Lepisosteus oculatus: one gene and its partner. Each later gene encodes a partner of the first gene's protein in a complex. Links are inferred from orthologs where the notes say so. Each region holds a gene or a part of one and is shown on either strand. Other genes may lie near its edges.

What was found.
Region 2: tent4b (region 1) and zcchc7 share a complex: the UniProt entries of both Homo sapiens proteins name them as parts of the nucleolar TRAMP-like complex. The link is inferred for Lepisosteus oculatus from reciprocal best matches to the Homo sapiens genes TENT4B and ZCCHC7.

The regions. Positions count from the first base shown.
Region 1 is NC_090715.1:1,971,283-1,979,221, forward strand, and holds the start of tent4b (terminal nucleotidyltransferase 4B), read left to right. Parts: upstream 1-4,933; 5' UTR 4,934-5,280; coding exon 5,281-5,792; intron 5,793-7,939. Other genes in the region: heatr3 (HEAT repeat-containing protein 3), read left to right, coding at 197-373, 831-953. UniProt on the Homo sapiens protein: Terminal nucleotidyltransferase that catalyzes preferentially the transfer of ATP and GTP on RNA 3' poly(A) tail creating a heterogeneous 3' poly(A) tail leading to mRNAs stabilization by protecting mRNAs from active deadenylation.
Region 2 is NC_090696.1:67,040,556-67,047,945, forward strand, and holds the start of zcchc7 (zinc finger CCHC domain-containing protein 7), read left to right. Parts: upstream 1-4,386; 5' UTR 4,387-4,472; intron 4,473-4,971; exon of another isoform or gene 4,972-5,032; intron 5,033-6,109; 5' UTR 6,110-6,173; intron 6,174-7,246; 5' UTR 7,247-7,251; coding exon 7,252-7,390.

The sequences.
Region 1 (7,939 bases):
ATCTCACAGCACTTTTCATGAGAACACGGCAATTAATTTCAGTGGGACATCTTCTTTATGTAAAAGAACAAGATGTGAAGATGATATCTCTAGAAAGTGTTCAGTGCACGTCTGTGATGAATCTGGTCTGTGCTCCAGGACTGAGCCCAGCCTAGAGCCAATGCCACTGTATGTTCTGTTGTGCCTGACTCTGCAGATGATCGGGAACTTCCTCCTGCAAGTCGCGTCGAAGGACCCCAGTCTGGTGGTGTGCGGGGAGGCCCTGGACGCCCTGTTCGACGTGTTCGCGGACGGGCCGGAGGCGGAGCGCGCCGCCAAGGAGATCCGGCTGCTGCCTGCTCTGAGCGCCCTGCAGCCTGTCTTCAAGGCCAAGGTCCGACACGCGAACACGCAGTATTTCCACCTCCCCAGCTGGGCTCGGCAGGACGCCCGTCCAGCCAGGGCATTAGCTAGCTCACTGGGCCTTAAGAGACCAGGCTGATCCTGTTGCTGCAGGTCACTTAAACAATCACAGAGGACGATGACTTTGCAGTGGAGATGTCTGGCCCAGTCCAGCTGATCCTGAGTTTGAATATCAGTAAAAGGTCTGTTCACGAAACCAAAAGGTTTCTCTGCAAGAAGCTACATTGGACAAGTTTTCCTTTTAAGCATCTCCTGTAAATCTCGGACCTCAGCAGTTCTCCCAGTTAAATCGCTAGCTGCTTCTTTCAGCGTTCGTCCTTCTTGAATACCACATCAGCCATCGCCTTGTCTGTGGGCAGAGCCCTGTTCTTTACCTGGTCCAGCAGTCCCTGCCAGTGACGCTCTGTTTTTCCCCTCCTCTCTTCCAGCTGAGGAAAGAAGGCAAGGGGAGCTGCAGCCCGGACCAGCTGTGCGTGCTGGATAACATCAAGATCAACCTCCGCCGCTTCATCAGGTACCAGGAGAGCTTGGAGAAAAACTGCGCTTCTTAGCACTGACTGCTGCTTCGAGAGAGGGAGTCGGGGTCTGTGCACCCCAACTGACTCTGATGGAGGAGCCGTAGGAAAGACTGGAGCTTTGGGAATTTGGGGAATAGCTCCTTCCACCACACCAGAGGACCTGTGTGGAAGACCGGAGTGTTGGCAAAAGCCCTTTGCGCCACACAAGGTGCTTGAGAATGAAATCCATATTTAAATTTTGTTGGTTTGTTTTTTCTTTTTTCTAGAAAGTGTACCGGTCCTGTTTTTTCACCATGGATCGCTTTGTTGATCACAGAATGTAAGGGAAAAAAAATAAAAAACCCAAGGGATGGTTGCAATACTGTATTACCATTTAAATAAAACTTCCTTTGCTATACAATGCAATTCTGAATAAAATGACGCCGTTTTTAAGTTATAACGCAATTCTGAAAGTGTTTTTAAAATTATGAATTCTTCGTTTAATGATCAGTAGTGTGGCACACTTGGGCTTGAAGTCTTACAGTTTTTCAAGACTGGACACGCATCCCTGCTAGCCAGGAATTTCACGACGTAGGGCTTTATTATAATATGGGTTTGCTGTCTCACTGGGCTTCATACTGGTGGCAGATGTGGCTGGTGGCTTTTCTGTTGTCTAGTATCTGTAGTGTCTGGGCTGTGCCATCAGCTGGGTTCTCTACGTGTTTCATGTATTTATATTTTAGCTCTTTTTGGTGTGATATCTTCGAGGTTCTGGTTTGCTCACCGTACTGAAGACCCGCTCCACATCCTCCTCTCCTTACGCAGGTTCTTCTTGAACTGGGTGAAAAGTGTTTAAGGGGAAGGTTGTGTGCTCCTTTCCTTTCTGCACTGAAGCCCTGCGCTGTGCAGCCACTGATAAAAGGGTTGTGTCCGGGTAGCAGGAGGCGTCCTGCTCTTTGGTACAGATGAACACTGCCAGTAAGCAGGTAACTCAGAGCTTACTGCTGTCCTGTGGTGGAGGTGAGGAAATCACTGGGCTAATGAGGAAGATGAGCCAGTTCCATTTGAGCTCTTGATACAGTGTTTTAGGTTTGGGAAATTCACAAATTAGTGCGAATCTGTGTTTATTAATATCGGTAAAAGATTTTATAATCGGTTCTTTCTAACTGCACTTGTCTGTAAATGTTCAACTCTCAGTCCCGGTTCCTCACAGATACCTCTTCTATTTGGGAGTAACTACCCCGTTTAAGATGCTCATCAGAATGGCAAAGCTAAGTCAGTTTCTGCATACAGTTGCTGTAAACCACTCCTGAAGTCTACCTGAATAATGCATTTGAGCAAAAAGTTATCTTGTATTTCTGGATATTCTTTATCAGCTCAGTAAAAGTAAATATCTATATCAACATGTTGTAAAAATATGTATGTAATCTAGCAAGTGTAAATCACACCATTACACCTTCAATGTTTATAATCTTAAAAGTTCAAAGTCTGTACAGTCTGGAGATAAACCAAGCCCAGTCTCTGAGGGTATAGTGTTTCACTCGTAAACAGCCCAGGACTTTAATTGCTTTATTGTTGTTAGCGAAATGAGAGGTTATTCTTCATTTTTCGCACACCATGGATGACATGTAGGCGATGTCAGAGCAGGTAAGGGGGAGTCGGGGAGGAATGTCGAGCGAATAATTTTCCACTCCTCCATGCAGGGTGTTTATAGTCCAGGAAAGACACGCACCCGCCACGTGCGAGCCGTGCAAGAGCTGAGTGTTGATTCAGGCTCGTGGACGCCCACGCACCTGGGTTTTCATTCCGCTCGGCTCTCCTTCACGTGCTCGAACCCTTAATTTGCCTCATCGTAGGATTCATCTGAGCCTTTTTTAATTGTTCTCAGTTCCTGAACGTTTTGGAAGGTGCCCCTCTACGATTGCGTCCCACAATTGAAATGTAGGATCTCCGGGATCGGGGGGATCTGAGGAGGAAAAACTTGATTCCAATCTCAGTGTCGGCTCAGTTAAGAATTTGGTTAAGTTAAGGAGCTCACCGGGAATGAAGAACAGCAGGTGAGGGGTCCGGGGACCCCCTTTGTTAAATGGGGCGAACGTTGGGCTAGTTTGGCCAAGGCTGACGTGAGAGGGGAGCCAGCTGCGTGCACCTCCTCGCAGTCTACGAGACGGGGAAGCAGACGGAGGAGAACAGGGAAGACTTCGTCACACGGACAGGCATTTAAACAGGTATGTCCTGAATGTGAAAAATGTCTTGTGTCCCTTTTGTTAGTGCTGTTATTGTGGTAGGAAGAAAGCCGCTTGCCTCCCATTAGTGATTCCTTTTTCGGACCCGCCTTCCAGCACAGATGACTGAAAACTGAAAGCAGTCTTGCAGGGAGCGACAGCTGCCAGCTGCACTGTGTGTAGGAGGAGCCATAGGGCTGAAGAGGCTGGAAAAGAGAGGCACTTCACTGCTCTTCTCCCATTCAGGTTTCTCTTACCTGCGTACTGCGGTTACTGAAGGTGATGGAAAGGCGCTACGCTGCAAATGTTAAATGTGTTTTTAAACAGTTGTTCTGAGGAAATACCAGAGAGGTGCAATGGAACAGCAGGCCAAGGGCTCATTGAGCCTTGTTTCACTTCTCCTGTGTGTCTCCAAATAGAAGAACAGCCGGAGACACTGCAGACTCTAGATAAAAAAAAACAATTATCATTCTCATCCTGCGGTCCATGTGGGTCCTAATGCCCCAGTATAGTGACGGGGACACTATACTGTAAACAGGCGCCGTCCTTCGGATGAGACGTAAAACCGAGGTCCTGACTCTCTGTGGTCATTAAAAATTCCAGAGCGTTTCTCGAAAAGAGTAGGGGTGTAACCCCGGTGTCCTGGCCAAATTTCCCATTGGCCCTTACCAATCATGGCCTCCTAATAATCCCCCTCTATGAATTGACTACATTACTCTGCTCTCCTCCCCACTGAGAGCTGATGTGTGGTGAGCGTTCTGGCGCACTATGGCTGCCGTCGCATCATCCAGGTGGGGCTGCACACTGGTGGTGGTGGAGGGGATCCCCATTACCTGTAAAGCGCTTTGAGTGGAGTGTCCAGAAAAGCGCTATATAAGTGTAAGAAATTATTATTATTATTATTATTATTATTAATCTTTCAAATTAATCTGCTCTTTCTGGTTACACAGCCTTCGTAAATCCCGTGCCGAAAGGGGTATCTGTTTATTTCAGCACTTGCATTTCTTAATCTAAAATGTTGTGTCATCCTCAACTTCTAAGTACTGAATTATAGTTAAAGGAGTTAAAGGAGATAAAACTGGGTACATATCACAGGTGTCCAGGTGACAGGTGTCTGAAGGAGCTGAGGAAATGTGGGCATATACAGTCTGCCACTGCCCTGATGTCTCTGAGTACCTGGTTCCACCGATAGAGGGCAGGAGAGAGGAGTGAGCAGCACAAGAGTGAAGAGCTGGACATGGTCAAGGAGGACTGGAGTATTGGAGACAGGGGAGGCTGCAGACCAGTGGGACATAGTAATAATAATGATAGTAATAATACACTTCATTTTGTATAGTGTCTTTATAAGCTTCTCAAGACCCTTTAAAGTAAGGGGAAAGAACTATGATAGGAGATAAAAAGTACAACATAAAAGAAAAAGAGTGTGGTGTAACATGCAAATCAGTTTAGTAAAAGCCCTTCTGAAGAAGGTCCTGAGATGGGCAGGGAGGACAGGAGAGCGTACTGGACACGGGCAGGGGGGTGAAGCAGGCTGCAGTCCGGCAGGAGGTGAAATGAGAGGACAGGGGACGTCAAAATAGAAAAAGAAAATCTGTACGCATAAACCTCTCCATCGACTCCATCGAGGCTCATTGGAAAGAACGTCATTTTCCAAATCGGGGATGGTGAGCACCCTAACAGGGTGTAAACAGTTGATTCTTGAGTCGACACCTTGTTTCCAAGACTGATTTGTTACTGTTACGTAACAAGACAAAAATGTTGACGCGCGATGGCGTCACAGCGGGCTGTCCCCGCCCCCTCCGCGGCGCGGCTGCGCAGTGGGCCGCGCTGGCCGCCATTGAGGGACCCGGAGAGAGAGAGGGGTCAGACGAACAGCGACAGGCGAGGGTTGTGCGCCGCCGTGATCTGGGATCTCCTTCTTCTTGCTGTCAAAACTGAACTTTTGTCATAGTTGGAGGGTTTTTTTGTTTTTAAATATTTCGTGCTTTCTGTCTCCTTCCGTTTTTTGTTCTCCGATTTTAAAGGGATTCTTATTTAAGGGGTGATATTTATAATAACATCGCACTGCGAGGAGCCAGCCTTGCTGCGCCGCACACGCGTACGGTCTGAGCCTCGCTCGGGGCAGGCACGGTGCGTGTCGTGCCCACTAGCGTTTGATGGATCCGAGAATCGCCTGGTTTCAGCCAGAACAGCTCGGACCTGCCAACAGCTTGTGGATGCAGATCTGGGAGACGACGCAGGGTCTGAGCAACCTGTACTTCAACAACAACTACAGCAGCGGCAGCAGCAGCGGGGGGACGGCCGACGCCAGCTCGGCGAAGAGCGGGGCTCCCAGCGAGGGCAGGAGCCCTGGCATGTCTAACGCCAGGCCGGAGGGCGAGATCGGGCAGCAGCGGGACTTTTTACCCTTGGAGACCAACAACAACCGGCCAGCGGGGAGGGGCGGCGGGGCCGGAGGGGGGGGCGGAGGGGGCGCCGGGGGCTGGAGAGGGGGCTCGGACCTGCGCAACAAGAGGAAGCGGGACAACAAGGCGAGCACCTTCGGGTTCAACAGCAGCCTGCTGCTCCCGGGCTCCGGGGGCAACGGGGTGGCAGGAGGAGGCGGCGGCGGCGGCGGCTACACTGGGACGCCGTGGAAGACGAGGAACTACTCCGAAGGGATTCTGGGGTAAGCGCCGAGCACGATCGCCGCTGTCAGCAGCCTGCGCTGGCCCGCTGGCCCGCTGGCAGCGCTCCGGGTGGCGGTGCCGTGTGTCGGGGGCAGGCGGTTTTGCGCAGTTGCGTGCCTTCATGGCTTTTCCACGGGCTACTCGAGCCCTTAGCGCCGCTGAGCCCCCGTCCCGTGGGCGCCGACATGCGTGTCGCTGGTTCTCTGGTGACCTTGTGGACGAGCTGAGCGCCCCGGAGAGTTTCCGAGCCAGTCAGTGACTTGGGGTTGTATTTATTTATTTGTTCCCCTACTCTGGTCGCGGTGGGGGGGTAAGAGGGCAGTAGTGCAGGGGAGAAGAAGGGCGCAGGGCAGAGCCTGGCGGGCGCTTGTCGTGAGGTTTCGATCGGAAACGGGTCGTGAAAGGGCCGGTGCCGACGCGGTGCCAGTCCGCGCTGGATGACCGTTGAGTAACACACTCGTGTCGCCCGAAGGCTCGTCTGGTCTTGACGTGCGCTGTTTTCTTGTTCTTCCCGCAAACCACGACTATGTCAAAATAATTTAAAAAAAGAAAACTGGCCGTGGCGGGGGGTCCGCTCGGTTGCGAGGGGAGTCTGGTTCGCGCACCTTCCAGTACTTTCTTCACAGCAACTTTGACGCCTCTCCCTCCCTCCTTCCCTCAGCCTGTTCCGTAAGGGGGTGTGGATGTGACTGGATCGCACAGTGTGCGCCCGGAGAGCTGCCCCGCTCGCTGGCCGGAGGACTCCCGGCTGCAGTTTAGTTGCGCTTCTCCTGCACTTACCTGTACGGTCTCCTCACGGAAGCGAGCCCCGGGCGAGTTCGGTCGAGCCGGGAGAGAGTCGGTGTCGTTTCCAGCATTGTTCAGAAACCGCCGCCCGGAGAAGCGTAGGCTTTGCAGCAGAGGTGTCCTGTGGAACTTTTTGAACCTGTCGATCCAGTGCAATAATTGGCCTTGCTCGTCAATTGAATTTTAAAATATAAGTGCATTTTTAGATTAATAAAATAGTGAGAAGTGCATTCGCATAGTAAGTGCTTTTAATCCTCCTCGTTAAAAGTGCTGCGTGTCTAAGTCGGTCCCGCACTCAGAAAGTTGTTTAAAAGCGGATATTTTTAGATTCTAGCTGTTTTAATGACTAAATAAGATTTGTCAGGGTGGTTACAGGCAAGAACAACAGAAAACGTGACATATCCCCGTTTGTTCAGTAATATTTTAATTCTACTCACTTGATCTGGGTACAAGGAATGAGAATTAACGTTTACATTTTTGTCCTGCGGACTTAAGCATTCCGTGTATGAGTTGTTATAGCAAGTATGTCAAATCAGCACATTGAGTTTTATGACTGTAGTAAGTATTTGCCAGTTGTTTTGAATATTTTAAGCAGCGTTTTGAGCAGCTATCTGAGTGACGACCCAGTCCGTGTCACTTGCTTGAAGGTTCTGGAGAACTGTTGAAAGGCAGAACCCGAACACCTGTCCTGCTGTGCATTGCAACATTACACAGGCAGAAACCGTATGGAAGTGCATTTTAAACAAAGGCTCTTCTTTACACAAACAGTGGTGGGGGTGTGGAACAAGCTGCCCATCCGTGCTGTTGAAGCCAATATCCTGGCTTCCTTCAAGACGGCGGAATGAGATCCTGGGATCAATTATTTGGTATACCAAATAGGTCAGATGTAATAATAATAATTGCTTACACGTCTATAGCACTTTTCTGGACACTGCACTCAAAGCGCTTTACAGGTAATGGGGATCCCCTCCACCACCACCACCAGTGTGTACCCCCACCTGGATGATGCGACGGTAGCCAGAGTGCACCAGTACGCTCCCCACACACCGGCTCTCAGTGGGGAGGAGACCAGAGTGATGAAGCCAGTTCAGAGATGGGGATTTTTAGGAGGCCATCATTGGTAAAGGCCACTGGGAACTTTTGCCTGGGCGCCAGGTAACACCCGTACTCTTTTCGAGAAACAGAATTAATTTTTAATGAATACAGAGAGACAGGACCTTAGTTTTACGTCTCATCCGAAGGACGGCGCCTTTTCTTTTTACAGTGCAGTGTCCCCATCACTATACTGGGGCATTAGGACCCACATGGACCACAGGGTGAGCGCCCCCTGTTGGCCCCATTAACACCTCTTCCAGCAGCA
Region 2 (7,390 bases), on another chromosome or scaffold:
GACTCTATATATAAAATAGCATGCAAGACACAAACACATCCAAGCTGCACAACAGGTTAGTGATCTTTAATCATTCTTGATTGGATGCGTAGGCAAACTAGACAGAATGGAATGACATGAGCCAAGTGGCTATACTATTCTATTCTATACAGCACTATACTATACAGTATTGCACTATACTAAGAGTTCTAGAGTATCTACCTCTAAAGTTCTCCACCACCTTAGAATGTAAGGTTTGAAAAGAAACGAGCAAAGGTTATGTCAAAGGAATCAGGTTGCAGGTCTGACAATGGATGCCACTGCAACTTAGATATGGAGTCAAGAGTGGATTCACAAAATTATACTGTGTCTTAAATGGATGCACTACACAAGTAATGGCATACACAATAAGCATATACATACTTTCCAACAGCATTTTATATGAAAAACTGTTAACACTGCTTCAGGAGGTCTATGGAATACGAGCATAGCATACAGTTTGGCTTCAGATTGTACTCTATGCTTAAGACGTCCCATGTTAATTGCACTTAGGAGGCATCATCTGGAGATGATCCAATGCTTAAAGAACACAGACAAACCATGAGAGAAAACAAAATAACTGAAAATCATCAATAAGGTGGGTACTTGTTTTATTTTTCTAGTTGTTTTATTCAGAATAAAAGCTCTGAATATTGCTAATTATTTAGCAAAATAGAACATTTATCATCCCAATAAATCTCTCTTCACAATAGAGAAGACGATTCTCTGTTATTAATATTTGTAGCAAATGCAGAATAAATCACAGTTATCTTTGCTGTAACTCACAATGTAGGATACAACTACTGTGAGGTGAGAACACTAAGACATGATGTTATATGGGCCTCAGTCTTTTGTCCATTAATCTGTTATACCCTGTGTTCAATGCAGAACCTGTCCATCAAACTGGCCAGAGCGGTGGTACACAATACCAATCCTGGAACACTACAGAGCTCTGAGTCCGAAGGCTCTGGCCTTTCTAACTCAATTCAATAATTTGATAATATAACACTATTCTAACATCTTGTTGATGATTTAAAGTGCCTTATAAAAACAAACCTGTTGTATTGTGACTTTCCAGCTCTGCAATTGTATGAATAGTGTACAACATTAGCAATAGCACATGGTGAACAGTACTGGTTCTGGGGAGTTTTATAGGTCAGCTTTAAGAATACCAGTGTCTATATGAGACTGTTTCCTACTTCATCATTAGGAATGAGCCCATTAACTCTCATCATTGCAAGGCCAGAGTTTCTCCCTTCACTCTCAGTGGAACACATTGATTGGTAAAACAACCAAATGCTTACAGTACATTTGTTATAAATGAATTAATGTTAATTGATGATCAAGAGTAACTTGTAAACTCTGCTGGAGTTTGGTTCTCCAGAACTGGGACCAGCCCATCTAGATGCTAGAGCAGGTCTACTGGTGATGTTGGTGACCAAAAAAGGTTGTTAACTGTTAAATATATTTGTAACAAATCAAATTAATTAAACAATATTTCGAGTCAAACTCTGTTGGAATAAATGAGGACTGTTTACTGACTAGCCCTGCTACAGAGACTGGAGCAAAGGTGGTCAGCCACAGTTTTCCAAGAAATCTAATAAAAGTTATATCTAGATCTATTATGAACATATAAATCTAATTTTCAAACGCTGGGGGCAGGATGCTGTGTTGCATAAATAGCTAGCCACTCCCCTGTTATGAATAAAACACAGACAAATAAATCTGGTAATTCAAAACAAAAAAATATAAATGCCAATGGGACACTTATGACTTCAAAAATAAAAATCTATACTGTTTTTTTTTTAAAAAACATTAATTAGTCTCTACAATCTATTATTATCATTTTATAATGGAGCTATTGACCTTTGCAAAATGCCACGAACAGACTCAGCAGCAGCACCAACACCAATGCAAAGTATGGTGCACTGGTTAGTGTTTTATCCAAGAATTGAATTTTAATTTCAATTGAAATTTCGTAGCAACAACAGAGGATGATAAAAATGAACAGCTTTTACAGAAGGCATTAACATTTCACACAAAATACTCATTTTGTTTTGCTGCACAAATGTTCAGTGCAGAGATGTGGCCAACATTAAGCGCACAAACACAGTAATGAATATGGTCTCCTTCTGCTGTTGCACAAGCCTCAGCAGTACCATCTTGTGCGTCTTATCAGTGTCTGGGTTATTCTCTGTGGGTGGAGACTAGGTGGTCCAGTGGTTAAGGAATAAGGCCTTGTTACCAGTAAAAGCCTCTGGCAAACAGAAAGCTCCATCAAAGGATGCATGTGGAATTAGATATTGGCAAGAGGGCTGGAACTGTGATTTAATCCAGGCCGTAGTCTGAATAATGAAGCTCTATCAACACAAATCCTTGATTTGAACATCATGGCAGGTATTCATAACTCAAAGCTTAGGACTAAAGACTTTCAAACAAGGTGCAGGAGACGAATGGCTCTGTATTTAACAGATGAACAGTTGCAAGCCTATGGAATAGTCAATGAGAGTTTTTGCCTGCATCCCCTGAAAAAACCTCCAACAATAAATCAAAATCAAGTCTCAAATCTTTTTTTTTTCTATAGACATGACTGATTCCCATCTCTACCTAATTTAGTTCTAAAAACTCCCATGGAAGCTCAGCCATGAATCACAAAGACATAATGTAGAAAAGCTTGCCTTTGGGTGCAAACAATTGCTGTTTTTTTTTATGGCATTGCCAGTATGACATGCATGGCAAATTATTCCAACTCAGATGGTGAATCAAACAGTGATTTTCTGTAATTTGCTAAGAAGCAGGACAGCAATCTACAGGCTCAGCTCAAAGCATATGGATGCAAATGGTGTAAAATGGGGGCATTAATGTCTAAAATATAGATACTATGAACAACAATTGTAGCATGTATAAGAAGCAGCTACACCTGTTACTGCATGATTTTTAGTAAGTGGAAGGCAATGAGGGAAGGGATTTGACCATGACTTGTCTGATGCCATGAAGCACAGACAGTGTTTAAAATTCCTTTTAATTCAAAACTCTTGACTAGATAGTTTTCACTGACCTCTGCTTCTGCAAATAGGTGACAAAGTAGATGCTGTAGGTTTTTCACTAAACAGGAAAAGGCTCGTCTGTGCTATGGACTTAAAAAATTCCTGGGGTCAATAATGCTTTGTCCATCTTAATCAATATTACAACAGGTAACAATCCTTAAAGATGACAGAATGGAGTCCAAAGAGTACGGGGCAGGTCAATAAACAGGAGTATTTAAACAAAAGTTCTGTAAATAAAAAACAAACTTTATTATGCCAAAACTGCAAATTTAAACTAAAACATTCTCTCATTGTTTTTGCTGCTGTTAAATATACACACTTGCTTGGGAGAAGAAAATATTTTGAGAGTTAACAAAGTAAATAATAATAATAATAATAATAATAATAATAATAATAATAATAATAATAATAATAATAATAATACGAAGCAACTCCGTTTCCACTTTTAGGTGAAATTCGAAACCTTTACTTAAATGACACCATCGAAAATTTATGTAAATGAACGTATTGTTTGTTATTTTTATTCGGTGTTTATCCTATAAAATTTACAGGGCGGCGAAACGTTCGCTATCCGCTTTATCTATGTAATGTAATAGAGAGGACGAAGCACAAGAAGCAAACTTAGCAGCACAAACGTAAATATTATTACATACAATACATTTAGAAATGATATAAACAAACGACAGTCGCGAATCACTGTTATTTCATTTTCCCCTATAATACGTTTCGAATTTATATGGGAAATATAACTTCGGTACGGGTTTACAGTAGCTTAAGTTAGACACTACTGTGTTATATGATACAACATTATAATTAATCTTGTTGACAGTTGTGTCACCCTCAATATTGTTGCATTTCGCTGGGATATACAAATCTTAAGAAGTTACGAATTCCAGTGAAAAACAGTTATTTTAAAAACTATATGTCGTACTTACAAATGTAAATATAAATGTTCAGGATTTGAGTACGTTAATGGACAACAAGAACCCAATGTTTTATACAAAAATGGAAGATACAAATTTGAAGTTACTACCGCTGTCTGCGCTACATAACGGTCTTGTCTTGTCTCACATTCACTACAGTTAGACATTTATGGTATTAAAATACAATACTTATGGTATCAAGTGGTATAACATAGTTCACACTGTGTGCGTGTTTCTTAAAAGCACACGATTTAATGGCATGTATCTCTCCCTGCTGTGAGTTCTAAGACTTCGTTTTCAGTTCACCGTGACATTAATGCTACAGTACCTTCGCTTCCCGAGACGTGCATGGAAACTCCGGGAAAGACTGAGCAATGTGATCATCGTCCAACCAGCTCCTCCAAACTCCGTGCTGACATTGGTCGGACAGCGGAATGTGTTTTTACTGTAATGTCTGAAGTTGTGGCTGAAAACTAATACACGGGTGAGTTTAAAGTGACATAAGAATACAAAATCCAGTGCAGAAAGGCAAGCTGGATATTGTATTTGAAATGGTCAAACTAGCGTGGCTTATGTTTTTAAAGCCCTAGAGTACAGTACGCGTTGAGTGATTTGTTTATAGTCTGCCGGTAGTTACACTGAGTGGTTGAACACGTGGGTACACAAGCTTTTAAGATTTTAGGATATACAGTGTGAACTGATTAATAATACCTAAATATTTTGCTTCTCTGCCACGATTTCCTATTCTCTGTTTTACACTGTCTAAATGTAGGTGTTAGACAAACACTGTCATTAGGTACTAGTTTGTGCACAGAGAATAGGAGCTAACACAAATACGTCCACACACTGTTCTATAGTGTTTTTAAGTTAATGTATTCAGTGGGTGTTATTCTAGTTTAAAATACATTTTAATCGCATCACAAAAGTATCTTTACGTTTTTATTTGTTTTGCTGTTTTGTTTTTCTCATTTGGATATCTGCAGATAAACAGATGGCGACAGGGACAGAATTCGTTTCTTTTACACGTTTATGATGTCAAATTAGGTGTGTGTGAGTGAGTACAAATATTCGAAAGCATAAGTGTTTTTCAAAGGCAAAACCGTGAACAACTTGTTAAGTCATGAGAGACTGTGCAACCTGTGGGCATTGAGCTCTGAAGGGACTTATTAAAAATCCAACCAGATGGAAGGCCTACAAACTGTTCTTGTTTTTACCATCATAAATATATCTGGAAAACGTTTTTCATCAATTTCTATATAAATTATCACTTACACATATCATTTCAGCTGTGATCAGTATATGAAATGAGAGCACAATTATTCAAAGAATCTTAAACTGCAACAGACACAAAACATTACCAGGAAAAATAATATTTACAGTGTAGAAGGTGCGCTAATTTGAATGACATATGTGTGCACTTCTGTGTGGTTTTGGGCCTATGGCTTGTATCGTCATGTTACAATGTCCACTTTTGGCCAACCTTGATCTTCTTGGCAGAGGAAACCAGGAGTTTGGCCAAAAATACCCCGGTACAGGTTGAAGTTCACCATTCCTTCACACTCCAGGATCTGTAGATGAAAAACCAACCCAAAACATAATTGACTTCCCGCCATATTTCACAGTAGGCATGAGTGTTTTCTCAGCGTGAGCTTCATCTTCTTAATGCCAAACTAGCTGCGCAGCGTGTCTAAAAAGATAAAATTTTGTTTAATCTGAGCATATGATGTGCTTCCAACTGTTAATTTGTGTTTGTCCTCATTTTCCTTACAAACCTGCCTGTCACATTTATGAAGGCGATGGTGAATGGTACAGTAGTTCTCAACACTTTGTGTTCTAAAGATGCTGGTTTGTTTTGGAGATCTCCAGCTATTACATTTGGATTTACAGTAGGGCCTACCAAACCACTTGACTTGTGTCCTCTTTCTGGCAAGGCTGCCACTATTAGTAGCCTTAGGAGGACAGGAATAAGAGCTGAATAGCAGGATGAGTTTCAACTGTCAGCCAGTCCCTGCTGGGACACTCATGGTTAGGTTAATTGGTAGGTGCAGTGAGTAATCCTCAGCTATAGGAAATAATTGATCTCTATCTCTCATTCTGTTTTTTTTTTATTTTATGTCAAAGGCCACTGGATAGAAAGAGAAAGAGATCTAAAGGGACAGGGAATCGGCGTGGCAGTAGAACTCAGGTAAGTCATTTCAGAGAATTTGAGGGTCAATTTTTGCACCTCAGGATTTTGTCATTTGTGTGGGGGTGAACAGCTTACACGGGAGTCTGCCTATGCTCCTTTAAATCCCTGACCATTCAGGATGAAAATGATCCATGAATAAAAGGAACAAATTTGGGCACAAATCATTTTCCCTCTCCCTCTTACATCCTCCTCTTTTTTGTATTATTCCTTGGTCGGTGGCTTGTGACCATCTTTGCCATCTCCTTCATTCAGACTATGTCTCTTTAATCAGCCATTATAGCTTCAGACACGCTGGGTTGAACCGGACTATGGGCTTGTATTGAGTAGCTCTGGCATTCATTTATTTTATTTATGTTTTCTAAATCTGAGTCATTCGTATGCTTGGTGAACATCTGTTCCTGCAAAGCATAGGAGTTGAGTGCACTGTAAAGGGTGTGGGATAAATGAAAAGAGGAATAGTGGAGTAACACTGAAAATGTTAAGTCTCTTCTGTTTTTTTTAGAAGAGACTGGAGTTTTGCACCTTTGGAAATTAACCTATCAGATCTTTGTTTGGAAGCAAACTCTGCCCTTTGCAGTTCTTGCAACATTTTACATTACATAAGGCAAAGTGTTTGATGAGTAGTGATGCTGAAGCATAGGAGACCAGTACAGAAAAGGATGTTGCAAACCTGTATATCTGACAGTATGAAGTTAGAAGGTAAACCATTAAAGCTAAAAGGGATGAAGTGATCCTTGTAAATTCAGGCGGGTTTGTTTTTTTAACTTGGATGATACAGAATTACTTTGGGGTGCTCAGTCTCTCTTTTGTCAAAGCAAACTCCTCTGTTTTTCAGTAAGGATCCTGCTTTCATCAACACAAGAGTAAGACAAAATAAATGCAAACGACGATTGTGAACTTGTCAGCTGGGACGAGTGGTGTTCTATCTCAGTCCTGGAGTCACTTGACCTCCTCAGTGGTCAAAGACATGAAAGGGGTGAATTGTCCTGTCTAATGGTGAGGTACTTTAGGCGAGGTTTTTCTGTCATGTTACCTGATGTCAACAGTCTGTCGATCACCTGTTTCCACAGCCAACATGTTTGCTGGGTATGAGTCTATGGAGGAGTATGAGGACGAGCTGTACAAGGAGCCAGGGCAATCCAGCGACTCCGAGCTCGACAGCGAGGTGGAGTTCCACTTGTACAGTCAGGTCCACTATGCCAGCAGGGCCGGAG